3 linked regions of the Saccharomyces cerevisiae S288C genome follow. Changing the gene in region 1 together with any one later gene gives a genetic interaction. Each region holds a gene or a part of one and is shown on either strand. Other genes may lie near its edges.

What was found. A genetic interaction does not mean that the proteins touch.
Region 2: mutations in NRP1 (region 1) and REE1 together harm fitness more than expected from each alone (negative genetic interaction), as found in Saccharomyces cerevisiae (2 studies listed by BioGRID).
Region 3: of NRP1 (region 1) and COQ1, a mutation in one rescues a mutant of the other (synthetic rescue), as found in Saccharomyces cerevisiae (one study listed by BioGRID).

What each region holds. Positions count from the first base shown.
Region 1 is NC_001136.10:160,495-164,674, reverse strand, and holds NRP1 (Nrp1p), read left to right. Parts: upstream 1-1,520; coding exon 1,521-3,680; downstream 3,681-4,180. Other genes in the region: CCR4-NOT core subunit CDC36, read right to left, coding at 1-385; FAP7 (nucleoside-triphosphatase), read left to right, coding at 633-1,226; SFA1 (bifunctional alcohol dehydrogenase/S-(hydroxymethyl)glutathione dehydrogenase), read right to left, coding at 3,911-4,180. UniProt on the Saccharomyces cerevisiae protein: May play a role in chromatin organization.
Region 2 is NC_001142.9:21,140-24,516, reverse strand, and holds REE1 (Ree1p), read right to left. Parts: upstream 1,385-3,377; coding exon 788-1,384; downstream 1-787. Other genes in the region: oligo-1,6-glucosidase IMA5, read left to right, coding at 1-176; YJL218W (acetyltransferase), read right to left, coding at 1,954-2,544; hexose transporter HXT9, read right to left, coding at 3,317-3,377. UniProt on the Saccharomyces cerevisiae protein: Functions in the galactose metabolic pathway via the GAL83 protein and that it may control the level of ENO1.
Region 3 is NC_001134.8:240,901-245,017, forward strand, and holds COQ1 (trans-hexaprenyltranstransferase), read left to right. Parts: upstream 1-1,908; coding exon 1,909-3,330; downstream 3,331-4,117. Other genes in the region: alpha,alpha-trehalase NTH2, read right to left, coding at 1-383; RER2 (ditrans,polycis-polyprenyl diphosphate synthase), read right to left, coding at 808-1,668; GPI-anchor transamidase GPI18, read right to left, coding at 3,466-4,117. UniProt on the Saccharomyces cerevisiae protein: Assembly of polyisoprenoid side chains.

The DNA.
Region 1 (4,180 bases):
ACGTTAGTTCCTGGATGACTGTACCAGGGTGTTTATAGAAGAGGAAAAATAGAGTTTCATCTTGAAAAAGGGCAACACGCTGTTGGTCATTTTGGATGGAATTGAAGCATGGTGGAGTTACAGTGGATTGTAATACGCCCGGAATATTGGTGAATGATTCTGGTGTGAAAAATCGGGGCTCCACTTCGCTTCTGGATGTTTCTGCCCACGGTGATTGAAAAGTATCGAGGACTCTGTGATCTTGTGAATCTCTTGGAATACCCAACGAATATAGCATCGACGATAAGTCCGCTCCTAAGGTCATGGAATGGTCATATGTACTTGAAAGTTCTTTGTCCTCTAGCTTAAGGAGCGGTACTAGCGCTTTTAAACCAAATTTTTCCATTATGTAGGGAATAGTATATTTTGATTCTCTTCTCTTCCTGTTTTTCCTTGTGGTTTTTGCATATCTAGTTTAAAAAATGCCTGTTTTGCTATTATCTTATTAATGTTCGCCTCGCTTTTTCGCAGTTATAAAAAAATACTCACATAATAATATACTTCATAACAAAAGAGCTCACTCTTTATAAATCATACACAAGACTCGTAGAAAGGAACTATTAGAAAATAAAGAAATACTTTGTTATATAAAGATGGAAGCAAGACGGTATGGACCGAATATCATTGTTACAGGAACACCAGGATGTGGCAAGTCGTCTACGTGTGAGTTTTTAAAAAATAAACTGAAGGATTACAAATACTATAACATTTCGGATTTCGCCAAAGATAACGACTGTTTCGAAGGATATGATGAGGGCCGTAAATCGCACATTGTCGATGAAGACAAACTGCTGGACATGCTAGAGCCTCTTTTGAGACAGGGAAATAGTATTGTCGATTGGCATGTCAATGATGTGTTCCCAGAGAGGCTGATTGACTTGGTGGTGGTGTTGAGATGCGATAACTCTAACTTGTATTCAAGATTGCATGCAAGAGGCTATCATGACTCTAAGATCGAGGAAAACCTCGATGCCGAGATTATGGGTGTCGTCAAACAGGATGCCGTGGAATCATACGAACCGCACATTGTGGTAGAGCTACAAAGCGATACGAAAGAAGATATGGTATCTAACGTATCCCGTATTGTTGCTTGGGAAAAGATGTGGTTAGAACAACATCCAGATGGAGTCACAAATGAATATCAAGGGCCTCGTAGCGATGACGAAGACGATGAAGACAGTGAGTAGGCGTTCCATAACTTTGTGTATCTACATATATACATATATAATTGTAAATTAGTAACAGTAGTAATAGTAGTGCCTATTATAAAGGGTTTTCTTTAAGTAATGTCATGTACTTGTTTAATGTGACTTTGGTAATATATTTTCATTCTCCGATGCCGATGCCCAGTGGAAAAGTTTAAAGTGAAAAATTTTTCAACACATACAAGTTTAATAAGTTGGTTTTGATGCAAATAGCATTACTAAAGAAGAGCGCTAGGATAATTGTGCATTGCTATTGTGATTTTTGATACAGAAATTATGCACTATGTGGTACTAGAGCTGCAAGTTGCGCATTTGCCAGATACCCCCAAGGATCAATGTCGCATTGCGAATATAGCATTTCAAATTGTGAATGCTGAAACATTAGTATGCCATTATGGGACCAATTCTTTACCGAGCATTGAAGTAAACGGGACGACAAAGAGTTTGGAGAGTGCAATGGTGCAATTGGACAAGGATATTCATGACGTTATTGGTAACGACGACTTTGTTCTTGTTTCCCTGTATTCAACATGGCATATCCGTGTTACCTTACCACGTCAAGCGAGAGATGATGGGTTTATTCTTACTTCTTATTTACAACATCCGAAAGTATTTGACTTATGGAAGGAATTCGATAGATGGTGTGTCAACCATCCGGAGATTTTGGGACAAAAGAAAGCAATCTCCAACAACAATTGTAATACTAAAAGTATTAGTATTAATGCAGCCAAAAATACGAAGGATTTGGACGAAATAGTTAGAATATTGGAAGTTTCAATCCCAACTGAAGAGGCAGGCTCTGTTCCAGAGATATACTCTCTTTTAAAAAGGACAACGGATATATTAATACAATTGCACAAAAAGTGTACTTCCCCTGAAGATATGGAATCTGTCTTAACAAAACCATATGACTCACACACCGATATTAGAGCGTTTTTGCAAGAGAAATCTAAGATTTTGTACATGAACAATTTACCGCCCGACACAACTCAAAGTGAGTTGGAATCATGGTTTACCCAATATGGTGTTAGACCAGTTGGGTTTTGGACTGTCAAAAACATCGTAGAAGATACGTCTAACGTTAATAATAACTGGAGTCTAAATAACAGTCCCTATGTGGAAGATCAAGATAGTATCTCAGGATTTGTTGTCTTCCAAACACATGAAGAAGCAACTGAAGTACTAGCGTTGAATGGGAGATCAATCCTATCTAATCTGGCAAACACTAAGCAACCAAGGGTGGTGGAACATGTCCTTGAGCTTCAACCTTCTTCCACCGGAGTACTCGATAAGGCTCAAGAAATTTTATCGCCTTTCCCTCAAAGTAAAAACAAACCAAGACCAGGTGACTGGAATTGCCCATCTTGTGGTTTTTCAAACTTTCAAAGACGTACTGCATGTTTTAGATGTTCTTTTCCGGCACCATCAAATAGTCAAATACATACTGCGAACTCAAACAATAATGTTAACAGTAGTAGAAATAATTTAAACAATCGCGTGAACTCGGGATCTTCAAGCAATATTAGTAACACTGCAGCGAATCACCCCTATGGTGCCCCTGAGTTCAACATGATTGCTAACAACACGCCAGCAGCTTTAACATACAATAGAGCTCATTTTCCTGCAATTACGCCATTGTCGCGACAAAATTCATTGAACATGGCACCATCGAACAGTGGGTCGCCGATAATTATAGCGGATCATTTTTCGGGAAATAATAATATAGCCCCAAATTATCGTTATAATAATAATATTAACAATAACAACAATAATATTAACAATATGACCAATAATAGATATAACATTAATAACAACATCAACGGTAATGGGAATGGTAATGGGAACAACAGTAATAACAATAACAATCATAATAACAATCATAATAACAATCATCATAATGGTAGTATCAATAGTAATAGTAATACCAATAATAATAATAATAATAACAATGGTAACAATAGTAATAATTGTAATTCCAATATCGGTATGGGAGGATGTGGCTCCAACATGCCATTTAGAGCAGGAGATTGGAAGTGTTCCACGTGCACGTATCATAACTTTGCTAAAAACGTAGTGTGCTTACGCTGTGGTGGTCCAAAATCAATAAGCGGCGATGCAAGTGAAACCAATCATTACATAGATTCATCAACATTTGGACCAGCGTCGCGTACTCCCAGTAATAACAATATTTCTGTTAATACTAATGGTGGTAGCAATGCTGGTCGCACCGATGGGAACGATAACAAAGGTCGTGATATTAGTTTGATGGAATTTATGTCACCACCGTTATCGATGGCAACAAAGTCAATGAAGGAGGGAGATGGGAATGGTAGCTCGTTTAACGAGTTCAAAAGTGACAAAGCTAACGTTAATTTTTCCAATGTTGGTGATAATAGCGCTTTCGGTAATGGTTTTAATAGTTCAATACGTTGGTAGTTAGGAACAGGCGAGGTCAATAAATTTCACACAACCACATTGTATTTTTTATTTTTACACTTTTATATATTTATATACTTTTTCTACCCTTACTTTTTTCTTCAGGTCTAACTGATTGCTGAAGAACGTAATTGTGCGCATATATATGATATTTGATAGAATGTAGGACGTTGATTTTCAAAGTATTCCAGAAAATTTGAGTCATGCTTACTTAGTTTAATTAAGTACTCCTATTTTATTTCATCAGACTTCAAGACGGTTCTTAAGCAATCACCGTTATGCAAATCTTCAAAGGCTTGATTGATTTCTTTGAATGGTCTCCTGTGAGTGATAAATTCTTCGACTTTTAAGGCACCTTTTTGATAGTCTTTAATTAAACCGCCCATTTCAGATCTACCTTTGATGCCACCAAAAGCAGAGCCTTTCCACACTCTACCAGTGACCAGCTGGAACGGCCTTGTAGAAATTTCTTCACCAGCGGCAGCCACACCAATGATAAT
Region 2 (3,377 bases), on another chromosome or scaffold:
AGGACACAGATAACAAAAAAATGTTTGCTGTTTTCAATTTCAGTAGCGATAATACGGACTTTTCAGTTCCTGATAATGAGGCCTCCTACACCATGTTTTTTGGCAACTATGCAAACTCAAATGGTGATTCCCGCACCTTGCAGCCATGGGAAGGAAGACTTTACTTGTTGAAGTAACGAGCACATTTAACATAAACGTACTGATCTTTCGAAACAAATAGTTATGCCGATATTTATGAATAATAAACTTGTATATTTCTTTTTACTTTTGCTTTTCATATGTGAGCATTGGATACTTAACTTACGCTGTACGCTATTTTCAATTGCAATTTATATATGTATATAGAAGACAGAAAATTCACTGAACCTTTTTCCGAAGAAATATAAAATAAAAAGCAACGTACAGCAGAAAAATAGAAAACATCATTATTACTGTTTCTATTGTCTAAATTTAGCCCTTTAAACCCCATCATCATAAGTACTAATTACCACGAATTCAATAATTAGTAAATACATTCGACTATTCTCACCCTAACTTTCGTCACTTTATCTTAAAACACTAGCTAAAAGTCGTTTATTATAACAAAACTAAAAATTTCGTAGTATGCACGCCTTATTGCCCAGTATTTTGTTAACTGTATGGATTGTACTAGTAAAAAAAATCTTGACGAAATTGAGTATAAACAAAATTTTAAAAAGCATAGTGCCAAATCAACAGATCTTAGTGAGGTGCAGGCCTTGTTCTTAACAAAAGCAAACCCCTCTTTATATATTGATATATAGGTGAACTAACTCAAATCATGTAAAGCTTTTCCTAAAGGAGCTGTGAGACTCCATTCCGAGAAAGTAACTTTCAATCCGCCACGCTCAGGTGTGCAAGCCATTGGTCCAACAAGGTAATGGTCAGAAGTTGGAAATGGAGCCAAACGTACTAACGGCCATGTTTTTTTATCAGAGGACACCTGAATCCTCAAAACGCCCTTTTCAACAGTAACACGAAGCCAGAAATCGCGAGCATTTCCGCCATAAACAGCAGTTGACCAATCTGATTTTCCATTTGTCAAAACACTGCTTAGCATTGCGTGGCCATCAGAAATTTCTATGCCAGCTTTGAGCCAATGTCCATCATCTATACGAACCATGATACCAGCCTGATCATAAAGACTCTCGTAGCTTCCCTGAACACGGACTTGTGCAGTAAAAGCACTACCTGTCTCTACTCCCAAAAAATGACCGCTATCACGGGTAAATCCGTAAAATGTTTCACGCCAAAAGTCAGTTTTTTCATCTGTTTCCAGAGTGACTTTTCCTGCCTCTTGAAAAACAGATTTTGGCTTATTGAGCCATGTTCCTTGCGATAATTCAGTATTCTTAGATTCGACCATTGTGTTTGGTAATTTATCTTGTTTGATGGAGAAGCCGTCACTTGGACTTTTGTTAATATTAGGTCAGGTTAAATACCTAGGAAATCTGTGCGTATAGGATCATCCCTTTCTAACTCCATCGAAAATGTTACTTGTTTTGTTCGAGGCTATTTGATGACCCTTTCATATGGACGCATGCAGGTGGCCATATTTTCAGTTTAAAGTTTCTCCGCATGTTAATTTGCGCTGAAAAATTAGAACGGTACTTATTTCCCCGAAAATTTCTCAAATCCGAACATAAAGCTACCAGCCACGCGTTTTCTATACGGTTGGAACTTGAGCAGTTTTACATAAGTTGTAAACTATAATTTTCTCCTCGAAGATAGATTATACCAGAAAGAAGCTACTATACACAGTCGAGTTGAGAATGAGCAACTTAAACCAGAACATATACCAATAATTAATAATCTCTCTGCGTATTTAGTCGACTAAAACTGAACTAGCTTTTTATTTATTCTTATAAGAAAATACGGTACATAATCATAGAAGACAACACTTGCTTTCGATAATTCCTCCAGAAAGTGGATCCATCATTTTCGATAGTTTGTAGTTGTACTATCTTTTTCAGTGATCTTTCTTATCACCTTACAAGGATTACCTGCTGCCACTACATTTTCTGGTATGTCACGAATCACAACACTACCGGCGGCAATCACGGAGTTTTTACCTATATTTACTCCAGGAATTATTGACACTCCACCTCCAATCCATACATTGTCTCCAATGGTCACAGGCATGGCATATTCTAATCCTTGAAGCCGTCTTTCCACGTCAATTGGATGACCTGCCGTATAAATACCAACATTAGGGGCGATAAATACGTTGTCACCGATGACTACCTTGGCCCCATCCAATATAACAAGATTGTGATTGGCGTAAAAGTTGTCTCCGATATAGATGTTACTTCCGTAATCACAGTAAAACGGCGGTTCAATTATAAAGTTATCAGTGCAACTACCAAGTAATTCTCTTATTACCTGGCTCTTTTTATTCTCATCAGCGGGGCTAAGGGTGTTGTATTCGTGCAATTTTATTTTAGTCTCTTTTCTAATTTTCAAAAGATCTGGATCATAGTTCGCATCATAAAGCTCACCAGGTACTATATTTTCTAATACGCCCATTTTTCTCTAGAAGCCTTGTTTATATGCTTATTAGAATGCTTCTCTATGTTCTTGTTGTAGTACGTGAGATCTCACTCTTTATACTTGCGTCTTTTCGAAGTAATGCTAAATAGTGCCTGGCCCAGCGTCACAGGGTGTTTAACGAGCGCGTACTATTTGTGAATTTTTTTGGGCACATTGAAAACTTTAATTTTTTAAGTTATTCAGGCACGGCACACTATGACAGGAGGTTACGTCGGAGAAATAGCGTTATGGCCGATTGTGAGAACATTTAAGAAATTTCAATCCATAACAATAAAGTGGCAGTGTCACCTAAAATATTAGTACCAACTTGCCCAATTGGCAGAAGGAAAATAAGGATATCAGGCCACCGACTTGGTACTATTTTTTTATGGTAAATGTGTACTTTTACTAAGCTTAATTTGAAACAGACGTCATATGAATGTTTCTGGGGCTACTTGTTACAATTCTCGGTCCGCAACAACTGAACTCTGTACTGTTCTGTCTCAATGCTTGGTTTCTTGAATGGAATTTCACTCCACCCTTCGGAACGTTACAAAATTTATACATTTTAAAAATTATTCATGAGAGAAAGATGCTATAGTAATCTGTTCACCCTGTCAACTCGTGTAGCTCATGTTTATCATATAATTTCTAGTTCTATAAGGCATAACAAATAGTCCGTTAAGGATTAAGGCGTAAAAAAGTAAATATTGTATATAATAAATAATTAAGTTCATGTATTTTTTTCCAGTTACTAAAAACCGGAAGATTAGCTGGAAAAGAACCTCTTGTAGATTGGTCTATCGTCATGGTCTATGGCGTCAGCATCG
Region 3 (4,117 bases), on another chromosome or scaffold:
ATATAAAATCTACGGTTACCTTGGCTGCTGAGGAAGCTGTCGTCTTCAGAACCCCTCCTTTTCAGGGTATAATCCTTCATTCCGTTTTTGAAGTCAGAAACTTTATTGAAAACACTCATAGTTCTGGTTCTATTTAGTCTATGAATTTTTGACTGTTTTCTTGGATCTGTTATTGGTCCATAATAGACCTCTGCGTTGGAAAACGGGTCAAAATACTCATGCATAGAGGACAACCGCCGGTGATGTCTTCTACCACCTTGTTGCCCCTCTTCTTTCAACGGCCGCTGCTCTGAACCACTTGAAAGTGGCTTTATGTTATCTTCACCATCATTACCTTCGGATGGAGGATTTATTTCCGTTACTTTTGGTAAAAAATCTACCATTATTTGAGTATATGCAGGTCTCCTTATATACCAAATGTCTGATCCGAACCTGCGTCAAATATATTTGCAAAGGAAAAATATAAATAAATAAATAAAATTGAGAAATAAAGAATATTAGTTTTAATGGAAAACAGTTCCTACAAGCGCTATAACATATGAAATATACATTAGTCGAATATTAACTTTGGGAGGTAATTACAATTCCTATCCGCTTTATATAATTTAGTGGAACTGGCACGCCGCTCGGAAAAATTGGACTTCAAATTACCCCGCGCGGAGATTTGCATTATAAACTCTATAAAGATGCGTGAATTTCTACTCATTTATTACTAATTATTTGAATGTTCTTTTGCGAACTCATTTATCTTGCTCATTACTCTATAAATATCTATGCCATGTGGTAGGAAAAAAATGCAGACCTTTCTTAATTCAACTTTTTTTCTTTCAAATCGATGGGGTCCCCATTGGTTTCCTCGTCATAATCACCTTCCTCTAATCTGTACTCTTTGTTTAAAAAGGATTTGTGAAACGAAAATTTTAATAAAATCCATGCCATCCGTATAGGTCCAAACTCTGGCCATAAACAATCCAGCAATTCGATGCGTACGCCCTTACTCGATGCCTGCCATATCAAAAAGTCACTTAATCTGGAAACGCCACTTGTCCTAATCAATAAATCTAAAGGGGGTACCCCCGCCGTGTAGAGATGCGATTCTAACGTGCTTTCGTCTATAGCGGCGCCCTTCTTATGTTGAACAATTGTTTCTTTCATGGCATGCAAGATTTCTTCCCTGCCTGTATATGGAAAGCAGATATTTAACGTGGCCCTTTTGTTGTTCTTTGTAGTTTCCACAGCAACCCGAACATCTTCTAATAGAGACTTATCCAACAAAGAGAGATCGCCGATAATTTTAATGCGTACCCCATACTTACAGGCCAGCTCTCCACGTTCTGTGATTTGTCGTATCCTTTCGCGCGCTAAAGTCATCAGTGATTCAACTTCCCGTGAGCTCCTCTTGAAATTTTCAATTGAAAAGGCAAACACGGTAGCCGTATCGACTCCTGCTTCATAACACAGTTCTAAGATTCTACTCATACTAACAAATCCTGCCTCGTGGCCCTCCTTTACGTCCATCTCTTTCTTTCTAGCGAATCTCCTGTTCCCATCCATGATGAACCCAACATGTCTAGGTACACAGTTAGATGCACGCAATGTGCGCGAAAAGATGTTTTTTGTCCACTTTAACACAAATGAATGACCAGGTATACCACTATCCGTTTCCATACCGTCTTTTACCTGTGTTTACCCTATTTTTACTGCTTAAGTTCTATTGAAACCTGTCATTATTACGAAAATTTTTTTTTTTTTCATTCTAAGCATTTTGTTGGCATCTTCGGAAAAAGCCCGAGCGAGGGTAACAGGGTTAGGGGATTAGAAGATTAAAGTAAGACACATTATAATCTATAGAGATTTTCTACAACACAAGAAGTGTGCCATTCAGTCCGAATTGAGTACAGTGGGACGATGTTTCAAAGGTCTGGCGCTGCTCATCACATCAAATTGATTTCATCTCGAAGATGCCGCTTTAAATCCTCCTTTGCAGTTGCTTTAAACGCTGCCAGTAAGTTGGTAACTCCCAAGATTCTTTGGAATAATCCCATATCATTAGTCTCGAAGGAGATGAACACATTGGCCAAAAATATAGTTGCCCTCATCGGGTCTGGCCATCCGGTGCTAAACAAGGTTACTAGTTACTATTTTGAAACAGAAGGCAAAAAAGTACGTCCCTTGTTAGTGTTGTTGTTGTCAAGAGCACTTTCTGAAATTCCCATGACAGAAAGAAATCACTTGAAAATTGACAAGTCGGATGTTCCTGAGGACCCAATTTACTCTAAACCTAGTCAAAATCAACTATTTCAACGTCCTGCAAGTAGCATATCCCCACTACATATTCTTCACGGTATTAAACCACTAAATCCCTTGACAAAAGGTCCTGAGCCTTTGCCAGAAGAAACTTTTGACAAACAAAGAGGGATTTTACCCAAACAGAGAAGATTAGCAGAGATTGTAGAGATGATACACACTGCGTCTTTACTTCATGATGACGTTATTGATCATTCTGATACAAGAAGAGGAAGGCCAAGCGGAAATGCTGCCTTTACCAACAAGATGGCCGTTTTGGCGGGTGATTTTCTCTTAGGGAGAGCAACAGTGTCAATTTCAAGATTACACAACCCCGAAGTCGTAGAACTAATGTCTAATAGTATTGCGAATCTTGTCGAAGGTGAGTTCATGCAACTGAAAAATACTTCCATTGACGCGGATATCGATACCATCGAAAATGGCCATAAGCTACTTCCGGTTCCTTCTAAAAAGCTTGAAGTTAAAGAGCACGACTTTCGTGTTCCAAGCCGCCAACAGGGGCTGCAATTATCTCATGATCAGATTATAGAAACTGCATTTGAATACTACATACACAAGACCTATCTGAAGACTGCTGCTTTGATATCAAAATCTTGCAGATGTGCTGCTATATTATCTGGGGCATCACCTGCCGTTATCGACGAATGCTATGATTTCGGTAGAAATCTAGGTATATGTTTCCAACTCGTAGATGATATGCTTGATTTTACTGTGTCTGGAAAAGATTTAGGGAAGCCATCCGGCGCGGATCTAAAATTAGGTATTGCTACTGCTCCAGTCTTGTTTGCATGGAAAGAAGACCCATCTTTAGGTCCACTAATTTCACGCAATTTTTCAGAGAGGGGTGATGTTGAAAAAACTATTGATTCTGTGAGACTCCATAATGGTATAGCGAAGACGAAAATACTAGCGGAGGAATATAGGGACAAGGCATTACAAAATCTACGGGATTCTCTTCCTGAATCTGATGCTCGTTCTGCCCTAGAGTTTTTAACTAATAGTATACTAACAAGAAGAAAGTAAACCTTGAAATTTCAAATAAAGGGTGAAGAATAAAGAGAAAATGAAGAAGGTCATAGTGTCGCATTATTCTATATTCTATATGTAAATAGTTTTTATATGTTTTTAGTAAAAGAAGAAATATACAAGCATTAAGGATCAGGCTGGTGGTAAAAAAGCTGCAAATAGGATAGTCTGTAAAGGTATCCAGAATGCCAACCAGTATATGTAAAACTTGACTATCTTATCGTCACCTTTCGGATTTTCCATTTTTTTTGGATCAGAAGTTTTAACCAATCTATCAGCCAAATACCAAAGGTGCAAGGGTAAAAAGGAGGCTATACGATTCAGAATTTGGACATGGGCAAAAAAGCATACTATGACGACCAGTGCTCTGGTGATCCATACGAGAGCCTTCAAGTTATAGGAGGGATAAATTTTGCTGAAATATATGGAGGAATAGATTAAAATAATAATATTTGGGACAGCAAACAAAAAGTTTGGGATGTTGTTTGGGGTCCAGTATTTCAATAACCCAACTCCCCAATAATGACTCTGAATGTAGGAATATAAAGAAGTTTTCGTGATAAAAATGCTTGAAAACAATTGAGATTTACACCATTCACCCCTTTGAGGACAAAATGTCTTATATGGTAGGTAATATTGTTGATATAGTAGAGCAGAAAACATTAATGATCCTGATAATAGTGGGAAACATATTGCTTTTACAAACTTCCTGTTCTTTGTTAGTTCAATAAGGTCAAAAATAAAGTAAATCCCTAACAAAACACAGTTTGAACGATTCAAGGAT